Mus musculus: one gene and its partners. The protein of the gene in region 4 binds, or shares a complex with, the protein of the main gene of each other region. Links are inferred from orthologs where the notes say so. Each region holds a gene or a part of one and is shown on either strand. Other genes may lie near its edges.

The links.
Region 1: Snrpd1 (region 4) and Srrm1 share a complex: the UniProt entries of both Homo sapiens proteins name them as parts of the minor spliceosome. The link is inferred for Mus musculus from reciprocal best matches to the Homo sapiens genes SNRPD1 and SRRM1.
Region 2: Snrpd1 (region 4) and Srrm2 share a complex: the UniProt entries of both Homo sapiens proteins name them as parts of the minor spliceosome. The link is inferred for Mus musculus from reciprocal best matches to the Homo sapiens genes SNRPD1 and SRRM2.
Region 3: Snrpd1 (region 4) and Lsm8 share a complex: the UniProt entries of both Homo sapiens proteins name them as parts of the U4/U6-U5 tri-snRNP complex. The link is inferred for Mus musculus from reciprocal best matches to the Homo sapiens genes SNRPD1 and LSM8.
Region 5: Snrpd1 (region 4) and Sf3b5 share a complex: the UniProt entries of both Homo sapiens proteins name them as parts of the minor spliceosome. The link is inferred for Mus musculus from reciprocal best matches to the Homo sapiens genes SNRPD1 and SF3B5.
Region 6: Snrpd1 (region 4) and Snrpe share a complex: the UniProt entries of both Homo sapiens proteins name them as parts of the SMN-Sm complex. The link is inferred for Mus musculus from reciprocal best matches to the Homo sapiens genes SNRPD1 and SNRPE.
Region 7: Snrpd1 (region 4) and Ppil2 share a complex: the UniProt entries of both Homo sapiens proteins name them as parts of the minor spliceosome. The link is inferred for Mus musculus from reciprocal best matches to the Homo sapiens genes SNRPD1 and PPIL2.

The regions. Positions count from the first base shown.
Region 1 is NC_000070.6:135,343,147-135,346,646, reverse strand, and holds part of Srrm1 (serine/arginine repetitive matrix protein 1), read left to right. Parts: intron 1-201; exon of another isoform or gene 202-1,977; coding exon 1,978-2,148; intron 2,149-2,667; coding exon 2,668-2,783; intron 2,784-3,500. UniProt on the Homo sapiens protein: Part of pre- and post-splicing multiprotein mRNP complexes. As a component of the minor spliceosome, involved in the splicing of U12-type introns in pre-mRNAs. Involved in numerous pre-mRNA processing events.
Region 2 is NC_000083.6:23,801,938-23,806,024, forward strand, and holds the start of Srrm2 (serine/arginine repetitive matrix protein 2), read left to right. Parts: upstream 1-1,287; 5' UTR 1,288-1,461; intron 1,462-1,717; exon of another isoform or gene 1,718-2,060; intron 2,061-4,087. UniProt on the Homo sapiens protein: Required for pre-mRNA splicing as component of the spliceosome. As a component of the minor spliceosome, involved in the splicing of U12-type introns in pre-mRNAs.
Region 3 is NC_000072.6:18,847,458-18,851,434, reverse strand, and holds the start of Lsm8 (LSM8 homolog, U6 small nuclear RNA associated), read right to left. Parts: upstream 2,801-3,977; 5' UTR 2,703-2,800; coding exon 2,672-2,702; intron 1,810-2,671; coding exon 1,769-1,809; intron 1-1,768. UniProt on the Homo sapiens protein: Plays a role in pre-mRNA splicing as component of the U4/U6-U5 tri-snRNP complex that is involved in spliceosome assembly, and as component of the precatalytic spliceosome (spliceosome B complex).
Region 4 is NC_000084.6:10,616,317-10,620,595, forward strand, and holds the start of Snrpd1 (small nuclear ribonucleoprotein Sm D1), read left to right. Parts: upstream 1-1,479; 5' UTR 1,480-1,596; coding exon 1,597-1,610; intron 1,611-4,279. UniProt on the Homo sapiens protein: Plays a role in pre-mRNA splicing as a core component of the spliceosomal U1, U2, U4 and U5 small nuclear ribonucleoproteins (snRNPs), the building blocks of the spliceosome.
Region 5 is NC_000076.6:13,007,041-13,009,683, forward strand, and holds Sf3b5 (splicing factor 3B subunit 5), read left to right. Parts: upstream 1-1,409; 5' UTR 1,410-1,582; coding exon 1,583-1,843; 3' UTR 1,844-2,143; downstream 2,144-2,643. UniProt on the Homo sapiens protein: Component of the 17S U2 SnRNP complex of the spliceosome, a large ribonucleoprotein complex that removes introns from transcribed pre-mRNAs.
Region 6 is NC_000067.6:133,607,481-133,611,518, forward strand, and holds the start of Snrpe (small nuclear ribonucleoprotein E), read right to left. Parts: upstream 2,801-4,038; 5' UTR 2,738-2,800; coding exon 2,684-2,737; intron 2,265-2,683; coding exon 2,238-2,264; intron 1,480-2,237; coding exon 1,417-1,479; intron 1-1,416. UniProt on the Homo sapiens protein: Plays a role in pre-mRNA splicing as a core component of the spliceosomal U1, U2, U4 and U5 small nuclear ribonucleoproteins (snRNPs), the building blocks of the spliceosome.
Region 7 is NC_000082.6:17,094,253-17,097,752, reverse strand, and holds part of Ppil2 (RING-type E3 ubiquitin-protein ligase PPIL2), read left to right. Parts: intron 1-305; coding exon 306-397; intron 398-958; coding exon 959-1,048; intron 1,049-1,672; coding exon 1,673-1,748; intron 1,749-2,709; coding exon 2,710-2,870; intron 2,871-3,500. UniProt on the Homo sapiens protein: Has a ubiquitin-protein ligase activity acting as an E3 ubiquitin protein ligase or as an ubiquitin-ubiquitin ligase promoting elongation of ubiquitin chains on substrates.

The DNA of each region.
Region 1 (3,500 bases), on a different chromosome or scaffold from region 4:
AGAAGGGTTACTGTACAATGTTTGTTGTGAGAAGAATTCACTTTGTAAAACAGCTGTTAAGGCTGGAGGTCTAGTGAAGGTGCATAGTTTTGAAAGCTACACAGGTGAAAAAATCAAACTTACTGTTTGTAATTTTGCTGTTACATGTTAAGTTACTTTGACAGCAATTTTCTAATGATAATGTGATTTATGATTTAAAAGGCCTGAACCAAAATGGAAGTTATTCCTTGCGTCTGAAGTATAGCACCATCACCTTATTAGGTCACAGCAGAGTGAGTGTCCCAATGTCGCTCTGACCCAACTCCCTTGATGACGCAGTGTGTGTTTGGAGGTGAGTTGTGTAAAGTGGCCGAACATCAACAACAACAACAACACAAACAAGAGCAATTGGTAAAGCTGTGTACTGCTCTTTAAAGTAGCATTTTGAGGTGGACATTTATTTGAAGCATGAGGGGCGATCTGATTTGACTGGATGTTGCTTTTAAAAGAACTGAAGACTTTAGTTGTAGTTACAAGTCAGTTGCTTACCAGTTAGAATTAAGGCACAGGATTTTATTTACATTGTAGTTAGAAGTTCAGGCAGATGGATTGGCAGTCCTATAAAAGCCAGTTAACATAATTGTTTCTATCTTCCAATATGAAATAATACAAGATGATATAACTGTTTACAATTATTTCTGTTGTAACATAGTTTGCTATTTTGTCATGGTACCCAAAGGACAGTAAAGCCGTACCATAAAACCTTTTGGTAACTGTACTGACGTGAGTTTACTTTTACATTACTCCTGTTCCCAAGAGTTCATGCTTGAATTTTGACAGAACAGTTATCATTCCAAACGATAAGGTATTTCATTTTTAAAACAATGTGGTAATTATTTTGCTTTGAATGTTTTTTAAGACTTAATTTTAAGAAAGGACCTTATGTTTAAGTATATTTATTTATTTCCTTTAGAGACCAGAAACATGGGAGGATGTTTTTTAAATGCTTAATTTACTATTTTATTAGAGAAATGCTTTACTGACTTGAATTTTAGTGAACTTTAAAACCTAAATACCTGGTAGTATTCCCCTGTAGTGAGCATGAGATTAAAGTGTAGAGCTTTTTAAACAATCTTTTCTTTTTTTGTGGTTGTGTACTCATTATTGCTTGTTCGTCTTTTGCAATTTAGATAAATGATATAACATTAAACTCAAGGTGGTTGAGTTGCAGTAGGGAGTCGGAAGCAAGCCAAGGGAACATCTTTCTCTACAGGGGACTTGGCGATTCCAAACCCCCAAGGTTCCAAGAAGACACTGAAGACACCTGGAATCTGTACTTGCTTTGTGCTATTGAGCTGTGCTTGTTATACGGACCTTGTTGCTTGACCAACAGAATCTAGTGTTTAAAAACCCAAATTACTTGTAGAAATCTTGACTCTTAGTTTTGTGGACAGTTGAGCATCTGTGGCATTGTTAGTAACAGGTTGTCATGTGCAGTAGTCAGGCTTTTAGCTTAGTCTTCAGATGTTACAGAGTGCATGCTTAACTCGTTAGTTCTTGTAACTGAGCACTAGATATTAGATAGTTTATAGAAAGTTACCTGTAGTGTAAAGAGAAGTGTTTATGTACGTTTTCAAGTTTTGGTTGGGGCAAGTTTTCCAGCCAAGCAAAAACTGTTAGTAAATGCAAGAATTTATAGATGTTCCATGATTGTTTTTAGAGTTGATAAATGCATAAGCCCACTAACAGCCATACAGTCTAAATACTTAGGAAATCCACAAAGGCTGCTCTAATGCTTTTGGTTCAGTGAGGGAGAATTGGATTATCTAGAAATTACATTACCAAGATGCAACTAGGGAAAACTATTTTTACAGTAGTAGAGCATATATATGTACCTAAGCCCCTTATGGTAGACTTAAATACTAATTTAAATGAATTTCAGATAGGTTGGCTAGTTTCGAAGTAACCTGTTTTTCTTCCTGTCATGTCTTTTTGCAGAACCCAGATTCCAAAATGATGCAAATCAACCTGACTGGGTTTTTGAATGGGAAGAATGCTAGAGAATTCATGGGAGAGCTGTGGCCCCTGCTGTTGAGTGCACAAGAAAATATCGCCGGAATCCCTTCTGCTTTCCTAGAGTTGAAGAAGGAAGAGATAAAGCAGAGACAAGTAATGCTTTTTGTATTGACTTGAGATGTCATACACGGTCGGATGGTTACCCTGAGGGCTTTGTCTCTTTGAGCTACTGTAGCCTCTGATCCGGCTAGGCTAGTTTGCTGGATGTGTCTGCCCACTGAGTTGTGGCTTACCACATTTGAAATTAGAGTGGCGTATTCCCAGAGGCAGTGACAATTGGACAGAGTGCTTTGTTTTTGTTTTTCTCAGTTCTTAAAGTATAAGTGCATTTACCTTAAAAGGGAGTCTAAATAAAGTATCTAAAAAGTGTGTGCAACTTCTCGCACAGGTAGTAATTATAAAGTCCCAAGAGAGTGACTATATAAATGATAAGTGAAATGATATAAATGGTATAAGTTTACATTAATGATAAAGGATAAATGAAAGAGTGTTGTAAGAGTGAACTTGAGAACATGGAACACCTTGCAGCCAGTCACGCCTGTGAAATGGCAGTTGGAGCACCCGTGTCAGTACCTTAATGGATGCTCTTAGTGCTCAACTCTGTGCTTGCAGATTGAACAAGAAAAATTGGCGTCTCTGAAAAAACAAGATGAAGATAAAGATAAGAGGGATAAGGAAGAAAAGGAAAGCAGCAGAGAGAAGAGGGAGCGGTCTCGCAGCCCAAGAAGGTACGGCAGAGCAGCTAGAGATGTGGTGGTGTGTAAGGTGCCTGGGGTCCTTAGGGGTGCTCTGGTCCAAGTTCCCTAGCTAGAAGACCTGGGGAGCACCACTGGAGAGCTGCTGTTTGCTTCTGGGCTAAAGAGAGCTTTTCTGTTGCTAGCCTTTTGGCACGTGTTTTTATATTCAGGAGATTAAGGCAGTGGGGGTGTAGGGGTGGCTTCTTAAGCCTCTGTTCAAAAAAAAAAAAAGACAAAGCCAGATCATTTGACCAAAATGATCACCTCTAATTTAGGTGAGTTACTCATTCTTAAGTAGAAATTTGGATTTCATATTGCTTTGCTTAAGTAAGACATTGGAATTTTTGTTGTTACTGTATTCTGATTATTTCCAGTCCCTTGTATTGCAGAGCTGCTCATTAGCGTTCATGTACTTACCTAATTCCATGTTCTGCTTTTCTTAGATGGTTGTACTGAGCCCAAACTTCAAATCATTTATTTGTTTTCTTCTTTCTTCCAATGAGACTATTGTTAGGTTCACATTTTTAAATCCTCGGTTCAGCTTCTGCTATATTTGTGGTGAAAGGTGAGAATTCCATTAGGCTTTTCATTTTTAGGACTTTAAAAAATAAATCTGTGGGGATTTGTAATGAAAAGAGGAGGTAATATTTTTGTTGTTTGTGCTGAGTTGGAAAACCTAGAGAAGCAGTGCCTCTAAAGGCTGAGTGT
Region 2 (4,087 bases), on a different chromosome or scaffold from region 4:
TCCGAGAGGAGCCCCTCGCTCAGGCCTCAGGACAATATCGGACACCCAAGAACTCATGACAGACCGAGCTTGTTGCAAACCACATGAGGCTTTATTTGGGGAAAGCCAGAGCTCTGGGGACAACTCATATCCCACGCAGGGGTAGAGGAGTCGTCCTCGAGGGGAAAGAGTTTCCAGTTTTTATAGGCCCTCAGGGGGGAAAGGAGAAGGGGGAGATTAGGGGATTTCCAGATCTAAACAATGTCTATTCTCAAGAAATGGGTATGGAGGGGTACAAGGAGAGTCTAATGAAGGTGCAGCAATGAGCACACACCTGGTCAGAACATTGGCAGACACACAGGTTCAAGGAGTGGCCAGAGCATTGTGCACCTCTATTTTTCTAAATCAGTGAAGCTAGTTCTGCTAACACTGACGTCTATCTTGCCAATTTCAGGGCTTCTGTGTCCTTTTACATTCTGCCAGGATCTTTCAGTGCCTCAGTGGTGGGGCCCTTGCTACCGAGTGAGAGGCACTGGGACAAACTCCCGGAACCGTGCTATAGGGCCAGGAAATGGAACTGCATTCTCACATTCCTCCACTTACATGGCATAGTCTCTATAGGCGAAAAGTAATCACTTAGTCTCTTTGCCCAAAGGTAAGAGAAAGTATTTTTTAGTGGTCTGCAAGCCCCACTTCAGATAGGACTACAGAGGTGGAAACTGTGGAAAGCACCGGATACTGGGCCAGAAGCCGGGTTCAAGTGGCTCCAGAGCTGTCAGGTGGCTTGACTCTGAAGCACCTCTTCCTGCGAAGAAGACTCGGTGCTGTGGGGCCTCGTACACATTAAAGAAAACCATGGTCACAGTGACTAGGTAAAGCTGCTGAGCCACTGCCACCCAACACGGTCACATAAAATGGCGACCCTGCCTAGCGGAGGAGTCTTACGCGTTTTCTCTCTAAAACCGAACTACAGCTCCCAGAACTCTGTGCGCGGAAGGCGTGCGTCTGAGCTACTCCCGGGTGTTGTGGGTTGCGGCCCCCGCGCCCCTCCCCCCTCCTACAGAAGTTTTTTTTCAGCCGACCTTGCAGCTTCGGTACGGAGCCACGCCTTTCCCCGCAGTGCCCGACGGGACTCGGGGTTTTTCGACTTTTCAGTAGCACGTCCCTTCGCCTAAGGTCCTCCTTGTGGCTTCAACGCCTGCGCACGACGCACTACGGTTCCCAGAGGGCCCAGCGGCTCTCATGATTGCGTGCTGACGCACTAGGTCGTGCTGACGCGCAACGCTGCCCAGGCGGGGTGCGAGTGGCGCAGTCGAAGCCCGCTGCGGCCCCTGAGGAAGCGAGGAGGCGGCGGCGGCGGCGGCTGAGGCGGGCGGACCGACGAGGCGGCGGCTTCAGGCTCCGAGGGATACGAAAACTTAAGCAGCAGCTGCGGCGGGACCTCCCTGTTTGACAGTCGGCGGCCGGAGGCGGCGGCGGCGGGTGAGAGAAAGGGAGCGCGCTAGCCGGGTGGGGGAGGGGCGGCGGGCTGGGCCGGAGGCTAGAGCGCGGGGAGAACGGCCCAGGCCGCCGCGCGCACGCGTGCTCGTCGCCTCGGCCGGCGCGGTCGCCTTCCCTTCCTCCCCTCCCCCTCCCGCGGTTCCTGGGACGCGCGGCCTTCAACTCCTCCGCCCCTCCCCCACACGGCCGCGGCGCGCGCGGCCGCCTGGTCTCGTCCGCGCGCCCCCGGTGAGACAGCATTGCGCGAGGCTCTGCTTCTCTCCTTTGCTCTACCTGGGGCTGAGGAGGCCGTCGTTCCGCGGTCGTCCTCTTCGGTCTTTTAGGGGGCGGGGAGAGGGCGGCAGCGGAGGTACTTGTCCCCCGCCCGAGCTTCGGACCTGCTGGTACCTCTCCTCGATCGGCTCCGGCGTGGGTCCACGGGCCCTGCTAGGGGCCTGAGAAACGGCCAGAGCCGCCCAGACCGCGGGGCGCCGCGTGGCCCCCTCCCCCCTCCTCGAGGCCGAAAATAAGCTGGGCTGCCCAGTGGGCGGCGGGAGGAGGCCTTGAACTTTCGGAGGCCAGGATTTAAACCGTTCGTCCTCGTTAGTATCAGAGGCTGTGAGTGTGTGCGTGGGGGTGGGGGATCCCCAAGTCTTAAAAAGTGAGGATAATAAAACCGCGAAAGTATTCAGCCTGCGTGTATAAGGAAGACCAATGTGCTCCTTTCAACCCTGTTATTTTATTTCTTTTTTACGGTTTGGTTTTATGAGCTAGGGCCTCTAAATAGTCTTGGTTGGTCTGGCACTAACCGTGTAGATCAGGCTAGCATTGAACTCAAGAAATCTGCCTGCCTCTGTGGGATCAAAGGCATGAGACACCATGTCTGGCTCCTACCCTGGTTTTTGTTTTTTGTTTTTTTTTTCCCCGGAGACAGGGTTTCTCTGGCTGTCCTGGAACTCACTCTGTAGACCAGGCTGGCCTCGAACTCAGAAATCCGTCTGCCTCTGCCTCCACACCCGGCTCCTACCCTGTTTTTAAAAAGGTCTCCTCAAATATTAAAGCTAAGCCTTTTAGAGCTTTTCGATGGGGAAAAAATTCTTGACTTAATAGCCTGGCTTCAGTCAGCCATTACTTGGTGATGACGTTCTTCCTTGCTGTTTCCATCTTACAGTTCTTTTAAGATGTCTCTTAATTGTGGATTCAAAAGGAAACTATTGCCTTTTTCCGTGGGAGTGGGGCCTAGGCCTGGATGTATACTGTAGCTTGTATGTTTCATGGTGCCTATGCAGTCAGTAGTGTCTCAGCTCTGAGTTCTCTGTATTTTTTACTCAGCGTCCTTTTCCTTGATCATTGCTGTTCTCTCGGTCGCTGTTTCTTGAATATCTTAGTTTGCTAATTTTCTACCTCTTTGTATTTTGGCATTCTGATAAGTTTTCCTCCCTTGCCGGCAATTTGTTCTTGGAGAGGCTTGCATGCTTTGGGCTCCTGTTTTAAATACTTCCTGGTTTTGGTAGTTGTGGTTTCCCTTTTAGTGTTTCAAGCATTGTTTTTGGCTGCTGGTATGTAAGTCCCCCCTCCCCCTTTAGCTCGTCTCTGAAAATTCTCCAAAACTGTGACTCTAATACTTTTTGCTTAGCTTTCATTCTTCAGGTAGGGTGTGGGAGGATTTTTGTGTGAAATGGTGAAAATATGAGTGGTTAGAAGGACTGTTAGGTGAGAAAGCAATATAAGCCCTAGATTTAGAGTGAGGAAGGATTGGTTTTTCTTTTTCCAAGACTATCAAGAGTGGTTGTTAGAAGGTACTACAGAAACATTAGAGGGGGGGGGCTGTAAAAAAGGTTTTGCATTTCTTAGATTTAGCCTTATCTCTTACTCTTGTTGTCTCTCCTAGATTTACCTTTCTTGCTTTTAGTTTCCTCTTGTGTTAACTGTTGAGATTGAGTAGGACTTATGTTAGGCTTGAGGATGAAATGGGGCAAAAGTGCATCTGGGTGTTTGCTTTACATTCAGCATCTTCCTTGATTCCCCCCCCCCCCCCCCCGCACTTTGGTGACATGTCCCCATCCCCAGACTAGGATTTTTTTTTTTTGTAGCCATGGTTGTTCTGGAACTTGCTGTATAGACCAGATTGGCCTAGAACTCAAGAGATCCACCTGCCTTGCTTCCCAAGTGCCGGGACTAAAGGCAGTGCCACCAGAACCAGGCAACACACTTCAGTTTGTTTTTTGTTGTTGTTGTTGTTTTTTTTTTTAAACCGGGCATTGATATGGTACTATTTCACCCAGCTCCATCTCTGCTATCTGCTTTTACTAACCTCTGCTTTCCCCTGTGTGTGTGTTTTGATGCTAGTTTTCTTTCCCATGTTTGAGACCCTATTTTGGAGAAAATGTGTTAGAGGAAAAAAGTAAAACATACATAGTTAGAAGGGAATAGGGAATGAGTAATACAGTCCAAAAAACTGGAGCTTGAGAGTTTAGTGATGCTGAGCTTGGAACACCATGAAAAGGTAGAACCTTACAGGAAAACTGTTAAATTGGAGAGTAAAGCAGGACTTAGAAAAACAATGAAGTGTCAGAACAGGGATTGATTGATTGATTGAAAGTCAACACTTTTACATTAAAGGTATGGA
Region 3 (3,977 bases), on a different chromosome or scaffold from region 4:
ATCAATCTCACTGTTGTAGAGTTGTTGGGAGTTGCAAGGGACAGGCAGGCACCAGTATTCTTAAAGTAAGTGACCTCACACGGTCTAGGAACTAGCACTTAAGAATGAACCAAAACAGGACAGATTTAAGGGGAAATGATTTTTTTTTTAAGTTAATAAGGTGAACCACAAACCATCAGTGCAAAAGATCACTGTATATTGCTTCTTCCAGAAAGGTCCTGGACTGAAGAAATACACTCCATGAATCACCTCTACTTTCCTTCATCTTTCCAGTCAGCATTTGTTTTGCCCACTTCAAATAAAGCAGCTGATGCTCCAGGAAAAAATGGCTCAAGATTGATTTCATGGATGGTAAACAGCTCCAGAGCCAGATTACAAAGTAACTACACTCCTTTGTTGTAAACAGTGTTACTGTAAACTAGGTGATACTTACAGTTAATATTTCATATCTCCTTGCTGCCAACACTGTGTCTTGTGTGTATGTCAAACTGAATTCTCTCAATATTACAGTAGACATATTAGAACTGAAATAATCAGAAACTTAAGCTGAAGGAAATACGCAGGAAAAACTGTATGGTTCTAGGAAAATATAGTATTACAGATGCTATTCAAGTTTCTGAAGAAATTGCTTATTTTGGATTTGACTGGGTAATCTCTTGGGTCAGCCATTAAACTTATGATCCAAATAACTATATAGAATCAGAATAAATAGAAACTTGGAGTCTAGAAACTGGAAAGAAAAACTTAGACTATTTACTATAGTAGTTGGTAAACAGTAGTTATCATAAAACCCCAGAAAAGTCCTCTCACCTTCATTTTATACACAAATATTTTATCAGGCGACTTTGTGATAAGATAGAACTAATCAATGTCAATACTTTTGTTCCGCTTTCCCTCTGTAAACCTTTTGTAACAGAAACAAGATATTTAAACATGAGGCTTAGTGGTAATTCTTCACAAGGCTGTATGTCAGACTAAATAACACACAAGATACTTAGCACATGATATGCATTTAGTCTTTGTCACTTTGACTGGTATGGCCTATGAAAAACAATAAAAGGATTAATAAAATTAAGGAGCTCTGATGGCTCAGTGGTTAAGAGTACATACTGATCTCCAAAGCACCCATACATTGTGGCTCACAAAGACCTGCAACTCTAGTTCTTCTGGCCTTCTTGTGTAGTGTACCCCCACACATACAGCAGATATTCACACAAACATACATGAACAAACATGAGCAAAAATAAATCTTAAAAAAAAAATCACAGAATGGGATAACATGGGATTAAATTTCATACAGGAAATATTTCAATCAAAGATGATAGACAAGGCAATGGTCCCAAAGATTGTACCACCAGTGAAGTCATAGCTAACTTGAAGTTTCCAAAACCATTTATTATTTTTGGAAGAACAATGAAATCACTGAAGACACACTTCTCAGATTAAATCACCTCGTCGATAAGCAATTTATTGGGGCATACACATAATATGTAAATCGTTTAAGGTCTCTAATGGCATAAGGAAGAGACACAAGAAGAAAACCAATCAGCTATTGCACAGCTCTCCATTTCAGATCAGAGGCCTTCAAGGTTGATTAGAGAATCTGTACAGGTAGCCAAGAGACTAAGGTTAAATGGATGAATCAATGGGTGAATCATAAGAGCAGTGAACTAGGTGTGCTGTGGTGCCTGAACACTAGGCCAGAAATGTTACCTCAAATTTGCAATCAATAAGCCTAAGGAAAGAGAAAAACGGAAATGTCACTCACCACAATCATTCTGCCATCAGAAGTAATAACAGCCACAGTCCCTGAGAACCGAGTCAAGGAACGTATTTCTTAAAGAATACAACCTGAAAACTTTCAGCCTGGAAAGAGTTCCAATTACTTAAAAAGGAAAGAAGAGACAGAATCAAGATTCCACACTGCCACTGCTCTTGAGGGAGAAAACTGAAGTTTTTAAACTTGTTTCAATTGTACCTCGAAAACAGTTCATCACATGGGAGAAGGGTATGTGACCGCTTGACTCTGGTTTAAACAGCAGTGTTTCCAACCTATGACACTGAGTCAGGCAGACTCATTTCTTAAGCTTTAAAATAAAAACTAGGTGAGTGCTAATTAATGTTGAATTACTTTATGCAAGTAAAGGACCTTCTCATCCAAGACTCTGTCATAATTAATGCCATCAAGTACCAATAATTCTTGTATCATTAAAAGCTCTCTGTATTTAACTATGTGTCTTAGGTTTTGCCCCGACTTTAGAACAGCAATTCTAACTTAAAAAATTCAACCGGGCTTTTAAAAGCTACTCGCCACTCTCTAAACACCATGACAAGATTTCAAGCAGAGGTATGGGACCTGAAGCCCAAATCTGAGAAGCATCTATCTGTTGTATGCTATCTCTGCTTGGGGGACCTGCAAACGCAGAGTTCTTAGGAAAACAGTGCATCTTATTCCGGATGTTGGGACACACGATCAAAGGCCGTGTGCAGAGAAGTTCGAACTACACCGAGATCTGTGCTGTGGGTGCAAAAAGCCCCGAGGCCGGCCGGGAGCTCCCTCCACGAACCCCGACCCCGGGTCCTCCGCCCACCGCCCACCACTCCGGGCCTCCCGTGCTCCCTCCCGCCCCCGCCGCCGCCTGAGCGGTCGCAGCAGCCCGCCGGAGGATACGGTTGATGTAGTTCTCCAAAGCAGACGTCATGCTGCTGGGCCCGGAGGTCCCGGGAATCTGCGAGGGCTCGGCAACGAGGAGACAAAACACCGCCCGACAGAAACCCGGACAGCTTCGCGCCCGCTGGCGAACGCAAAGACCGCGAGACTCTGAGGCCTCAGCGGCGACGAATCAGGGACGGAAAGGAGCCGGCCAAACAGGAAGCCGGGCGGGGCTGACTAGTGGGCATGCGCAGTGTGTTTCCGCCGGGCTTCTGGGCGGCGCTCGCACGCCGAGACCAAGGCGGGGACAGGCAGTTTATGGAGAGGTCACTGAAGGTGGGCTGGAAGGAGAGCCTGGAAGGAGGCTCTAGCGGACGGGAAGACACTGTGGTAGTTACTAAAGGTAGTGTGGGAAGACACTTTCTGCCGGAAGACACACGACATGAAGATGGTAGCATTGGCTACTGAAGGAGAGAGATTCTTTGTTCTCATAGGCGACATAGATGCAGGGTGGAGGGAGTTCTAGCTTTCTCACGCGTGAGCCAGAAAAGTTTAAAAAGCCAAATAGCCCAGTACAAAGGGAGCATATTGTAGCTCCATGATGTGCATTTTCGGAGAATCCAACTGTATACAGAATGTTAGTGTTGAAGAATGAAAAATTACTGGCCTCTTGTAAGAACATGAACTTTTTACCTCGGAGCCCACCCCCTCCCATCTAGAAAACATTTTTGAGATAAAGGCTTCCTGGAACAACCTCAAAATGAACCAGGTACTCCTTAGTTACGTAGGTTCCTTGATAGGACATGACTCCTTAGTTACATAGATTCCTTTGGCAGAACTCCCTAGTGATGTAAACTTGTACTTTCCCTGCCCAGTTCTCCCCCTTTGAGTTTTACTATATAAGCCTGTGAAAAATTTTGGCTGACCGTCGAGACTCCTCTACCCTGTGCAAAGGTGTATGAGTTTCGACCCCAGAGCTCTGTGTGCTTTCTGTTGCTGCTTTATTTCGACCCCAGAGCTCTGGTCTGTGTGCTTTCATGTTGTTGCTACTTTATTAAATCTTACCTTCTACATTTTATGTATGGTCTCAGTGTCTTCTTGGGTACGCGGCTGTCCCGGGACTTAAGTGTCTGAGGGAGGGTCTCCCTTCGAGGGTCTTTCATTTGGTGCATTGGCCGGGAAACAGCGCGACCACCCAGAGGTCCTAGACCCACTTAGAGGTAAGATTCTTTGTTCTGCTTTGGTCTGATGTCTGTGTTCTGATGTCTGTGTTCTGTTTCTAAGTTTGGTGCGATCGCAGTTTCAGTTTTGCGGATGCTCAGTG
Region 4 (4,279 bases):
CTCCACATAGCTGAGAGAGAATGAATAGGTTTTAGGAAGATTTATAACATTCCACGTACAAACATCTGAAGAAAAGAGTGAGCTTGATGAACTCCGAGATGTTAGACATTTCTACAGACGTGAGGGGAGAGGAGATGGGTCAGAAGGAAGCTGGCCCCAAGTGGAAAGGGGATTTGGGGTTAAGGAACACCAGGTGATCAGTACTGGCATTATTGCACCAAATGATATGCACAATGTATCCTTATAAAGCATACATTTTAATGGAGGGAGGTATTTAATTGTTCATAAATATCAATCAAGAACTGTAGATTTATCTTGCCATTACTAAAATTATTTTGAGTAGAAAGTATTAAAATTACCCCTGAGTCACCCTGGTTGGCTTTCCAGCATAAAACAGACAAAATCATTCGAGAGTTGTGTGAACCTTTCTGCCCAGACCTTGGACTAAGAATGTACCTGGCTCTGATTAGCTTAAAATAGACAAGGTATAATCTTATTTGGCTGAAATCTCTTTTTAGGGGGAAGGGAAGGTTCGAGATAGAGTTTGTGGCCCAAACTTGGACCACCATGCCTAGCTATGAAATAACGTTTCCCCTGTTTTATAACCCACATTACAAGGACCTCTGCTTTTCTTAATGTCCAGGCCCATTGTTCTGTTATAAGTCACCCTTAAGCTGCACACTGCAATTCTGGACTTGCCTGCCTCTTTCTTTGGTCTCATTGATCCTTGGGACCAGTTCCCATACATGGGGACAGGGGTGTTTGTTGACAAAATCACGTTCCATGTAAGCAGTTTTGGAGAGCGCAGAAAGCAGTTGTATTTCCTTGCTTTTAGACACGATATTCTCTCTAGAGCCATAAATAATAAATTATAGAATCAAATGATAATAAACTAATATCATCCAAATTCTTTCAAAATTATTTGCACTATGTTTGTAATTAGAGACAAATGTATATGTTGAGTAACTACATTTAACAGTGTGGTTATTGCAAATAAGGTGTTGAATTTTTTGTTTTAACTTTAACTGAAATATCCACATACATTTTTTTAAGTCGAAGGACTTGCTATATATAAAATTTATTTAAAACTCTGTCCTGAGAGTGGTTTTTCTAGTTTTAAGAAGGTACCCTGCATCCCCAAAGGAAAACCATTCTGTCCAAAGATTTGATTGGCTTAGCTTAATGTCAAGCCAAGTAAGGACATCTTGCAGGACCGAGTTCCCTGCTTCCAACATGTGAATCCCAAGTATTAAACTCGAATCTTAGTGGGCTTCTTTCAGAACTTCTCTTCCTTTAACATGTGAAAGTTCCAGGCCTTCACAAGTAGTTTTAATAACTTCGTAACTGGTCTAAAAAAACCTGCAGAAGATGTCGTCCACCAGCCCTCCCGCCCTCCGAAGGTGCAAAGCACTCCTCCCGTCGCTAGGGGCCGCTGTCGCCCTCCCGGTGGCCGGAAGGCAGCGCAGCTTCCGCGTTCTCGTCGCGCGTCCGCAGGCCTCCGCGCGCTTTTCCGGCCATTCATAACCCCAGTCCGTGGATCTCTGGAGCCTGAATTCTGTGAACAGTCGGGCCAGAAGGGAGAACTGCGTCGCTAGGATGAAGCTCGTGAGGTGAGGAGGGTACCCCCGCCGGGCGAGGACGACGGGTAGAGGATTTGGGGTCGGCTCGGGAGGCCGGGCCGCTGTGCTCCCAGGGAGGCGGGAAAGCCGCGTGCGCGCGGCCTGCTAACGGCCTCAGGCCCCCGGGCCCCGCCGCGCCCTGCCCGCCGCCCAGAGCCCGGGCGAGGGGCCAGCGCGCAGACCCCGCCGGTCTTCCAGGAATGGAGGGGCCGAGCCGCCTCTGCCCACCCAGTATCCGGCAGCTTAAACGGAGCAGTGGCCCGTTTTCTTGGCGAATCGGACCATTTGCACTGAGGAGGACTTAGTAGACCTAGCATGGTTTTATCTGCAAATGATGACGCCGATTTGCAAGACGTTTTAGACTAAGATCTCCTTAAATTTGACCAGTTATACGAAGTATGTAAGTGGTTAGTGTAGGCTTCTAACTCAGGAAAGACAAAATGTCCTAGGATGGGGCAGAAGGTAATAAATTAATTTCGCCTGCATAGTTAATATCGGAAGTGGAGCCTAACTAGAGGCATGCTGGTTTAATTCAAATGAACAGGCTTGGGTCAAGCCTGAGGCAGGTTATACAATATCAAGCAAATAACTAGAAATATTTAGTTTCTTGTTGAGTCAAGACTGTTGTAGTTGGCCAGAATGGCATTGAACACCTTCTGAAGTAGTTGTACATAATTCACAAGAATTCTTTTAAAACATTTTTGAAGTTTTTTTAACGGTGACTCATAGCCTGCTTGAAATTGGAAAAAAAAAAATTACTTCAGGAGGAATTTGAGGGAGAAGGCATTTAAGGTTAAAAAAATTTTCCCCTGTTCTGGGGATGGCACGCAGAGAGCTTCTAATAGTCACTTAACCTTGAGCTCAGCCCCAGTTCATTTGTATTTGGACTGTAACCTAGGTAGAATGCTAAGACTTGCCGTTTCTTTACTCCCTGATATGAACTATAATGTATTTACAGTAACATGTTCATCTCATTTAAAGGTTCTATTATGATAACTTTGCCAGCATCCTAGGCAGGTGCTCACTCTCCTGCTGCTGCTGCTTTGATTTGTCTTGGACCCTATTTTGTATAGCGCAAAGTATAGAGATTTCTAATTACAGGAGAATTTTTTTTAAAGATGTATTTATTTTATGTATGTGAGTACACTGTAGCAGTACAGATGTAGCAGTTGGGGCCTTCATGTGGTTGTTGGGAATTGAATTTTGGACCTCTTCTCGCTCTGGCCCAAAGATTGATTTATTATTATAAATAAGTACACTGTAGCTGACTTCAGAGGGTGTCAGATCTCATTACTGGTGGTTTTGTGAGCCACTATGTGATTGCTGGGATTTGAACTCAGGACCTTTGGAAGAACAGTCAGTGTTCTTACCTTGCTGAGCCATCTCGCCAGCCCCCAAGGGAGAATGTTTTTTGCCCTGTGAAAATGGTTGACTGGTTTGCACTTTTGGTGTGGGCTTTCTTATTTGTGCATGAGTTTTGTATTGGACTGTATTGCCTGTATTTATCCCGTTGCCACCTTGCCCAAACTTAGGAAGTGTGCTTAGCTACCTTTCTCTTAATCCTCCTGGCGTCTGGTAAGTTGCCAGGTTTCTTAATTTTTCTAACTGGAGATACTTCTCACTATCCAGTTCTCTTTGGTTTTCTATTCAAATAGGAAAAATTTGGGTACTAAAAGGACCCCATACACTTTACTGTTTGATGTGCCAGTCTCATTAAGAAAAGAATTCACAGCTAGGTGATGGTGGCCCATGCCTTGAATCCTCACACTTTCTCTGCGTTCAAGGCCAGCATGCTGTACAGCGGGAGTTCTAGGACAGCCAGGGCTACACAGAAAACAAAAGTAAGAAGAGAATTCACAAAATGAAGGACTCACTGGAAAATAATTTGAATTTATGTGTTCCTTGGCCTCTTTTTACTTTTATATTGAGACAGGGTCTCACAAGTTGTGCTGCCTGACTTGAAATCACTCTATCTCAGCTGACATTAGATTGAGAATCATCCTGCCTCTGCCTCCTGAGTGCTGGGATTAGAGGCCTTCACTGCCACCAACCAGCATCTCTAGATAGCATAAGGGAATTTTTGTTTCGTTTTGTTTTGTTTTTCGAGACAGGGTTTCTCTGTGTAGCCCTGGCTGTCCTGGAACTCACTCTGTAGACCAGGCTGGCCTCCAACTCAGAAATCCACCTGCCTCTGCCTCCCAAGTGCTGGGATTAAAGGCATGACCACTGCCTTGCTCATAAGGGAATTCTTCAGCAGAATATTTTCTTCACAAAAGGACCCTGTTCTCCCCACCTCCTCCTTTCTGAGTGCTGGAATTAAGTCTTTGCCACCGTGCCTGGCAAAATACTGTTTGTAATGTAGTAGTTTAAGGTTGCTGAAACGTTCAGCCTGTACTTGGTGTGTGTTACTATAGAAAAGTCGTGCTACTTACTTTCTCATGGGAGAATGGAATAGGTAATATCACTCGTGTAGTTTACTGTAGTGGATGTTATAGGAGTGCACAATGGATATTGTAGAAAAATAAGTAGACTGGAAAATCTGAATATGAAGTGTTATTAGATGATATTGTAGATTATCATTCCATTGCCATTTGGCTAAAATAAAGCATGAGTGATAATGTAGAATTCCTGGTGGGTTACATTCCTGAATATTAATAGAG
Region 5 (2,643 bases), on a different chromosome or scaffold from region 4:
ACAATTAAAGGGTTAAAATGAAGCCTGACAAGGTGACTAAGCCTCTGATAGATCACTTCAAAGTCTGAAGCAGGTGCAGAGAATTTGAGTCCCTGTCTCAATAAATAAATAATAAGAGACAGGTATAGTATGGCTGGATGGCATATCCACAGGTATTGCCGTATAGTCTCTATATTTTAGGAATAAGATGTGTATTATGTTGTCTAAGTCTTGGTGTTGGTTGGTTTTATTTTTTTTTGAGACAGAGTTTCTCCTTGTAGCCCTGGCTGTCCTGAAACTAGCTCTGTAGACCAGGCTGCCCCTGAACTCAGAGATCTGCCTGCCTCTGCCTCCCAAGTGGTGGAATTAAAGGTGTGTGCCACCACCACCTGGCATGATGCTTATTATGACAAAATTTAAACAGAAGAATTAATATTGGATGGAGCGGAACTCACCTCTAATCCCAGCATTCAGGAGGCAAAGGCAGGAGGATTGCTGTGAGCTCAGGGCCAGATCCTCCCCCCACCAAGTAAACAAAAGTACCCCCAAACTCCTGTATTTTCAAATTGTCTGTCATTGTCCATTCTCTTTGGCTGTGACTGCTCTTACCCCATTCCTAAAATGGTTTTTTGAGAGTACAATCTACATCAGGCTATACATGTATCCTTAAGGGATACCATAAAAGAAGTACAATTATCTTTTCTGAGTTGTTTGTAACGTGAGAAAGTGCACAACCCCCAACGTAAGGCAGTAATCAGCAGAAAAACACAGGTGACTAGAAAGAGAGGTGTTCTTTCTATCTATCTATCTATCTATCTATCTATCTATCTATCTATCTATCTATCTATCTATCTATCTATCTATCTATCTATCTAGTCTTGAACCACATCTGACTTCAAGGAATAGCTTTTGAGTGACCTAGAGCAAACAACCCCTCAATGGGTTGAGAAACGGGAGCCTGGAGCTCGTTGTGGGAGCCATTAGTGAGACTACTGGGGCTGACACTGATCACCAAAAATACTTTTCCCAGTGCCCAAATTCTAAGAGACAAAGCTGGGACCGCGGGGGAACCATGCTGCCACGTTAGCTTCTAGGTACAAGAGTTAATTTTCCTGGTTGCTTGTAGTTGAAACCCTCTTGGATTTCCCCTTCTTAGTAGCCCAGAGCCGTGGGATAACTCTCAGAGGCCGTTTGCCATCGTCCTACAGCAGCCAGGCAAAAACAAAACAAACAAAACAAAACCCTAAAACAAACTCTTTGGACTACTTGTTCCAGAATGCAACGCTCAGACTAGAACGTGATCACCCGAGAGCCACTAAGCGGACCATCATGCAACACTCTTCGAAGTAGGCGGGCTCCGTGAGGAGACGGCCCAGTGTTTCCTAGGCAACTCCAATCCCGCGACAGACGGCACTTCCGCTTCCGCCTAGGAAAAGACTGTCTACTCCTGCGTCTCGGTGGCGTCTTTCTCCCGCGCCTGCACGAACTGAGGTTTTGCGTGGCGGCGGCGGCACCGGCAGCGGCAGCGTCTCTCACTTGAACGCCGCGAGCGGCAGCTTCTCGTCTGTGTCCTGACCTCGGAGCCTACGAGCAGAGCGGCGCGATGACGGACCGGTACACCATCCACAGCCAGCTGGAGCATCTGCAGTCCAAGTACATCGGCACGGGCCACGCCGACACCACCAAGTGGGAATGGCTGGTGAACCAGCACCGCGACTCCTACTGCTCCTACATGGGCCACTTCGACCTCCTCAACTACTTCGCCATTGCCGAGAACGAGAGCAAAGCCCGCGTGCGGTTCAACCTGATGGAGAAAATGCTGCAGCCCAGCGGGCCGCCCGCGGACAAGCCCGAGGAGAACTGAGGTGAGCGCTGCCCAGTCTTCCCCGTGTGCCGGCTGCGAGCCTCCTTGCTCCTGCATCTCGACCATTCCGTGTTGGCTGTGTCGCCTGACCTGCGTACCTGTGGAGGATTCGGAACAAGTCATGGAGAGACTGTCCGGGTCCGCTCCTTGTGAACTGTGCAGAAGGAGTGATCCCAGCATCGGCAAGCGAGGGAGAAGACTGCACGAGAGTGATGCGCATTTCGAGTCTGCTTTTCGATAGTTGATGTCTTCTTGCCTTTTTAAAAAACCATATATATATAAAGTTTAGGGTTTGCTCTATTCTTTGGTATGGATTGCTGTGTTCTTTGGGAGGTTATTAGGAGAGGGTTCTGTGGATCAAGGTTTTGTGAGAGTATAAATAGGAAATGGGGGCAGAAGCACAGGGCAAGTCCTTAAGTCGTCACACACACTTTTATGATATTATCCCACCTCAATAGTCTTCACGCGTACAGTGTGTCTGGTCCCAAAGAAACCTTGAAGCGCGGAGATTGCCCATATCCCTTTCCTACCCTTCCCTTTATGCGCTACCCCTTACCCCTTTTTCTTGATGATTACCCTTTGTGTCTTCAGAAATGATAAACTGGCAAACAAGTGGTATCACGTCCCCATCCTGCTCAGCGCCCCATTCCCCCCACCCCTCTTCCCTTTTCACCAGAGCATTTTCCAAAGGTTTGAGGGCATACATTATGCCAGCTTGAAGAGTTTACAACTTTAAAAACCATGCTTACAATGCTACTTTACTGAGATGTCATTTGAGAACAGATTTTAAGGAATCAAGA
Region 6 (4,038 bases), on a different chromosome or scaffold from region 4:
GGAGACATGTCAATTGGTAAAGTACATGCAGTCATGAGTTTGGATCCCTACTCAAACAATGCAGTGCACAGTGGCCTGCAGCCGCACCTAGTGCTGGCCAACTAGTCTTGTTAAATCCATGAGTTCCAGGCTCAAAAAGCAGAGAGCAATAAAAGATACCTCTAGCACATACATCCACACATATGAGTATGTACAAAGCAACCCCACTCACTCCCTTGATGCAAAAAAGAAAAAAAAAAAGTGAGGCTGAGCACGTCTGTAAATCTCAGGAGGCTGAGGCAGGATGGGAAGTTCAAGGCCTTTACTGGGCTACATAGCAATTTCTTGCCTCAAAATAACAATGCCAGAGCTGGACAGTTCAGTAGTTAAGAAGACTGGCTTTTCTTCCAGAGGACCCAGATTCAATTCCCAGCACCCACATGGCATCTCACAACTGTTGATAACTCCAGTCCCAGGGGATCTGGTGCCCTCACACAAATAACAGTAGGCAGAACACCATTGCACATAAAAATAAATAAATCTTTAAAAAAATTTTTTTTCCATTTTCATGGCTATTAATCTAAACATTGAAGAGGCTCAGACAAGAGGATTTCCATGTGTAAGTCTCTCTTAAAAGACTCTGCCTCACACAAAGGAAAAACAGAGACGGGAGAGGTGGTGGAGTTACAAATCCTTCCTTGCTGCTCTTGCAAAGGACCCAGGTTTGGTTCCCAGCACCTACATGGAAGCTCACAATCACCCATCTTCAGGTGAGCCAACAACTTCTGGCCTGTTTGGGCATTAAACACACACAGGCAAAACACTCAGACAAATAAATCTAAAATAACAACAAAAACTTATTGCCATGGTAGCTGTGTGGTAGAGCAGGTACTTTGATCCCCAACACCATCACGATAGAAGCCTAACAAACCATAAGTCTCACCCCCACCAGCTCTATTCTGGCATGATCTAATCCAGAATGCAAGTCCTTTATCACTCCCCGCCCCCCTCTCATTTTGTTTTTGTTCCCTCTCCTCACAAACGAAGCTCTTCTTAAAAGTCTTAACTCTCCCTTCCTTTTTTTTTTTTTTTTTGGTTTTTCAAGACAGGGTTTCTCTGTGTAGCTCTGGCTGTCCTGGAACTCACTCTGTAGACCAGCCTGGCCTCAAACTCAGAAATCCGCCTGCCTCTGCCTCCCGAGTGCTGGGACTAAAGGCGTGCGCCACCACCGCCTAACCTCTCCCTTCCCTTCCTCTTAAGAGAAGTATTATCTAACCCTATTAACCAGAGCAAGGAGAAAAGGCTAAATAAATAACTCCAGCTCTGAAGAGCTTTCTTTGGGTTGGGTCCTTGACGCCTTGTATATTGTTCTTACTGGCCATCTTCTGAGATGTCTTTTTTAATAACAACTTGAGGAAAAATAGCCTGGGTACTCACAATAATACAACCTTCTATCCGCATATTCACTTGTTCATACAGCCACACCTGAATTCGAGATCTCTGAAATAAAAATAATGACTTTAGAAATGTAAACAAATCCCACTCCATTACTTTGTTTCCACAATAAACGACTTATCTTAAAAATTCCAATAAATATAAGCCAAAAACTAGAACTAGTTAGTCTTCATCTAAGAGCTAGCAACACTGGTTAACCTGCTGAGAAACATTTAATAAGTGCTCGGGCAGGCCTGTCCAAACTAATTTTCCTACTCTGAAAATTTATTTTTGCTTCTGGCATGAATACACTTACAGTTAGAACTGTTCACAGGATAGTACAAAGCGAATCTGGCGATTAAAAATTACAATGGCTTAAAACGATTTTTCATCTGTGTTGTAACACTCTAAAATAAACATCGCTAAAATCTCCTCAAAGAAGAGCATTTGCCACTCGCTTCTCTGTATATAACGCCCCCACTCCCCCAAACCCCGCTTTGGTGTCTTTTCTCCATTCTAAGTCCAACTATGGAAAAAGCACTATGCAACTGTCACTGCTAAATCCGATGACAAATCGTTCTTACAGAGTAATTTTAATAGTAAATATAATTACATTGTTCTTACAGAATAATGGTAACTGTGTGCATCCTTAAGTCAGCACGGACATATTAATAATTAGCGCTTTCCCTGTGACCTTATCCTCAACTCTGGTTCTCCCCCCCCCCCAATTTTTTAGTCTAAGCACTAGAAACAGAGAATTTGTTACAAAGAGTCAAACAGGCCCAACTTTCATTTCAGTAACAGTAAGGAAACAACTTACGTACATTTTGCAAGTATCTGAAGATAAGGTTCTGCAGCACGGCGATCAAGGAAAAGAACTACACAAACAGCGGAGCCTCCGCTCCCAACCGCGCCGGACTCTCCAGCGCCCCAAGGTCCGGCCGGGCTACATCCGCAAGCACAAACGACCGCCGGGAGCATGCGCTCCCTCCCCACCGCCCTCGTTTCTCCAACCTTCCCGATGGCCCACATCCTCCTCTCCTCCTCGGTATCCCCCGCTTTCATCGCGGATCGCCAGCCTGGCCGGGTCCACCCGGAGCCCGCCTTCCGCCTCCCGCCTCCCGCCGCCCTTCAACTCCGCGCGCTTTCCTGCCTCCCCGTTCGCCCCAGGGCCTCACGGGAAGCGGCCCGCAGCGGGCTGCCCGGCTCCCCGCCCACGCTCACGGCGCCTACGGCCCCCAAAGCCCCGAGTTCACGCAGCGTAGGATACGATGGGCTGCACCATCACCTTCTGCACCTTTTGGCCCTGGCCGCGGTACGCCATGGTGGAAGTCACAAAGACCACACGAGTAGGAAGGCCGCCTCGGAAAGCGACTTCCGGAAGCAAGACCCGGAAACGGAAGTGCAGTGGTCGTCGGCGACGCGGGCCGGTCCTGGGGAACGCCTCTCTAGGCCAGGAGCCGCTTTTTCTCTATGCTGATAGACTCCGCCGGCGGCCTTCCGACTCAACCGCTCTTTGAAGTCGAGGTCGGTCCTACAGCGCCACCTGGAGGTAGGCTGAGAGGCTTGCCTCTGCCTAGGTGCTCTTCTGAGAGCTGCTCTGGAATTTAGAGGCGGCATCTTGTCCAGAACCATCTGCAGACTCCCCTTATTTGTTTTGGGCCCCAGAGCTAGTCTAGATGGTCATGCCCGAAGCAGTGGTGGAGTTGTGGCTTGTTCAATAACAGATTCAACCCTCATCACCTTTATGCAGAGTTAACTGTTGCAGTGGCAACTGAAGATGGCAATCTAACTAGCTTGGAGGTATTGAAATCGGCTTGTTGGACTCAGATCTCTCTCAGTTGTGTGACCGGTGATAATTAAGTCATTAGGCCTCAGCATCTCCGTCCCGCAAGGGGACAGGAGGTGAAGATTCAGGGAGGTAGTAGTGCACAGGTGCTCCTAGAACACATCTGTAATCTCAGCTTGTGGAAGGCGCAAGGTGAGTATGACCTTAAGCTAAGTAGTACGTTCCAGATCTAAGCTACATGAGGCCTTGTTTCAAAACAAAACAACCTACATGGTATACAACCTGATAAACTTAAGGTAAGTTAGAAATGTAAGTTAAAAAAAAATGCATTTAATGCAGATACCTTGGGCCCAGGGGAGATGATTCGGTAGGTGGGACATGAGGTCTGTCAACCAGCACCTACACAAAATTACATGCCTGTAATTCCAGAGACAGGAAGGAGGGTGCCTGGGCTGGATGGCCAACTAGTCTAACTTAATCGCCAAGTCCTAGGTTCAATGAGAGACCCTGTCTCAGAAGGTAGGGTGAAGAGTGACTCAGAAGGACACTTGATGACATCCTTTGGCCTCCACATGCACACAGAAAATTGTTGAAAATGTATATGCCTAGTCTACTCAATGCCATCGCTTAGCAACACAACATAGCAGCCTTTCTTGAAGCTGCAGCTGCCCCCCACCTCACCAGAAAGTACCTAGAGCTGCTTACCAGGGAAATGATCAAAATTTAAAATGCAAAGTCTGATTTTTTTTTTTTTACAGAATTCATATTGCTTTCACACCATCTTTAGGATGAAGAATTGTAAGTCAGGAGCTATCTGGATGTGTGTGTGTGTGTGT
Region 7 (3,500 bases), on a different chromosome or scaffold from region 4:
CCTCCGTCTCTTTTTTTCCTCCTCTGTCCCGTCCTCCCTGTCTCCCTCCAGCCTCCCTTCTTCCCTCTCTCCTCTCCTGTGGTACTTGTTGGATGTAGAACTTAGCACATGCTAGGCAAATACCCTGCTGCCACTCCCTTTTAGAATTCCACTTTGAGACAATGTCGTGGTAGATTGTCCAGCTAGCCTTGTACTCTGTTCTTCTGCCTTAGTTTCCTGGGTAGCTACAGTTAAAATATGTACTATCATGATTGTTTAATCAAAGCCCTTGAGGGCCACTAGTCCTGTGTGTGCTTTCTCTCTAGGGCAGTACCACTGTCCAGTGCTGTATTCCGTGTTCACTGACAACACCCATATTGTGGCCATCAGGACAACTGGCAATGTCTACACCTATGAGGTAGACCCCCATTGCAATGAGTGGGACTATCTAATGTTGGGCCCGAACGTGTGCCTGGCTGAGTGTTGAGGTTGAACCAGGAACAGTGAGCATGCCTGTCCTCATACCTTTCGTAGCCTCTAGCACAAGACATTATCTCTAAAATAAAGGTCAGGTGACTCTAGTGGCCTTTGGACCTCAAACCCAGGCTGGCAGTTTGGGCTGCCTAAGCAAGGATTCCTTGTAGCCTGGAAAGTATTACCCTCTCTTCAGCATGGACCAGACTCTGGAACAAACATGGGAGTAAAGGGAGATAAAAAGAGGCCAGGTTCTTAGGACAGGGGCCAGGTTGGCAGGAGGGACATGAGCTGTCTCCATTCCTGGCTCAGTCTAGGATGAGGACAGGCATGATACAGGAGGGCCCATGTTGGAACTCTTGCCAGAAGCGGCCAGGTTGGTTTGGCTAGTCTCTGCCAGACAGGTGAGAACTCTTGAGACTACCCCAGAGTGGCCCTGTGTGCTTGTTTACCTCATACCTCTGTGCCGGCCCAGAGGAACTGTGATATCTCTGTACTGCTCTAGGCAGTGGAGCAGCTAAACATCAAGGCCAAGAACTTGCGGGATCTGTTGACTGATGAGCCCTTTTCCAGGCAAGACATCATCACCCTGCAGGTAAAGAGCTTCACAGGAAGTGCCTTGCCTTGACCCTCCGCTCTGCCCTCTGCTCTGCACTCTGCCCCCCAGCTTTCTTCACCAGGCTTGGTGGTCACCTGTACCATAACACCCCTGCCTGCTGCTACCCAACTATTGCTTAGTGCCACCCCCTCCCCCTACAGCCACCATGGACCATGACTGCCTCTGGCTCTCATGGCTCCTGTATGAGGGCTACACTTGCCTCATAACTCTCTTAGGTGTTAGGACACTTAGGCTGCTTTTCAGGTCCCATCCCTACTCTCAGAACAGCAGCTACACAGTTGTCCCCGTGGTGGTGTGTGAATGGCCTCGAGGGAGCACAGGCTAGGATAGGGTTAAACGACTCTGTGGTTGTTACTGAAGCTTGGTCCAATGGCTTCCCAGTCCACATCCTGTGCTACCTGGCAGCAAGCCTCATTCCTTATTTTTGAGGCCTAAGGCAGGGCACACTGCTTGATGAACAGGTAGGCAGTCTGTGCCATCTTGCTTGTCACTGGGTTGGGGCACAGCCTTGGCCTCCTTCCAGCCTTCAACATCTGGCACAGGTGGGTGAAGTGCTTGACACAGTCCATTGTACTTCTGAGTGTTCTCTTCTTTTCACAGGACCCCACCAATTTGGACAAATTCAATGTTAGCAACTTCTTCCATGTGAAGAATAACATGAGAATAATAGACCCAGGTATGGACACCTAAAGGCTACTGTGAGTGACTACATGTTCTCGGGCAAGTCCTTCCTTCTGGGGGGCCCAGACACTATGCTTCTGAGTGGCTTTTGACTATCATGACATTTGCTGTATAGATGAGGCTGTCCTTAAATGTGCAGCATCCTCCTGTGTTTCCCTTCTAAGTGCTGGCATTACAAGCGTACACAACCATGTCTGTCAGACGGTTAGAGAAGCAGCTGAAACACAGACACCTACCTTTCCCTAGCTCTGGTGGGACTGTGCTTTCTGGATTGCCGTTGGCCACTGTTCTTTCCAGGGTACAGTGACAGGGCTGCAGGTGAGACTGGGTGACATGAGACTTGTCTAGGGCCCTGACCTTCCTGCTTCCTGTGCTTGGTCCACACCATTGACCACACTGTAACATACTGTAATGTACTATAACATACTATGCAGTGGCTCAAGTTTCTGAGCTCACTTGTGCCATGCCAAGGAGCCAGCTACACACAACTCAGGGATAACTGCGCTCAGGAGACCCAGAGGCCAGGCCTAGGGAAGCTCACTGCCCAGTAAGTTACAGCCTTTGGCCTAGCAGGCAACATGTGGCCTTCCTTCCCTTGAAATAAACACGTTTAAATTCACAAAAGCAAAACATCATTGTGAAAAGGCTGCAGTAGAGGTAATACAGGAAACAGGGTGACTCCCACATCCCTTCAGGCCTGGGGCCACTCACCATGACAGCGTCTTCTGTGTGCTCCACCAACCCCCTTGTTGCACCTACTAGAGCTCCTGCCAGATGATCAAGGGCAGTAAGTCATGGCTGTGCTAAGACCAGCGAACCCTGCCCTAATCAACTCACCTGTGGCTTCTTCTCATGTGGCCTTCCCCATCTCTATTCCTATTAGCTCATCTTGAGGCTCTTTGGGGCCTTGGTTTTCTGGGGCCTTGGCTGCTCCGTTCCAATATACTGTTTTATAGATGAGGAAAAGGCCAAACAAGACCCATCTTATTATTTGAAAAACACAAATTCGGAGACGAGAGAGACGCTACAGGAGCTCTACAAAGAGTTCAAAGGAGATGAGATTTTAGCAGCTACCATGAGGCCACCTGAGAAGAAGAAGGTGGACCAACTGAATGCGGTGAGTGGGGCACTCTGCCTGACCGAGAAAGATCCCAGGGGAGGTGCTCACGGGGCCTAGATGCATTTGCTGGCATGGTGGCAGGGACCTTCCCAGTGCTGTTGGGCCCTCCAGGGCTGCTGGGGTGACTGGGCCCCAAACAGATCAGGAGGGAATAGCACACTCTTGGGGTGGAGGAATGGTTGACAAGCTGGGGTCCCATGGCAACAGTGGCTCAGCAGAAATAGGGCTGCCTTATGCTACTGGCCCTGACACAGGCTTCAGTGACCAATGTTCCCGCTTTCTTTGGTGTTCCAAAGGCAGCTTTTACATTTCAGGACAGAGATAGGAGGGTGTGCAGATCTGTGATGGCAGGGAGGGCTAGGGTTGCTATAGCTACTAAGGTCTCAGCCCTTACCTGGGCCCTACCGGGGACGAGCATGCTTCTCTGCCCTATGCCGTAGCTACAGCTGTGGTGCTGGAATTTCTTTAGCACATTTAGCCGATAGGTGCTGTCTTTCTCCCAAGTAGACTGAAGTCTGGAGAGCCTGAGCCATGGGGAAGGCAGAGGTGGAGTCTCCCACATAGGGATTTTCTAGGAAAATGTGGAAAACCAAAGTTCATCTATAATTTCCCAAGCTGAACACAGCT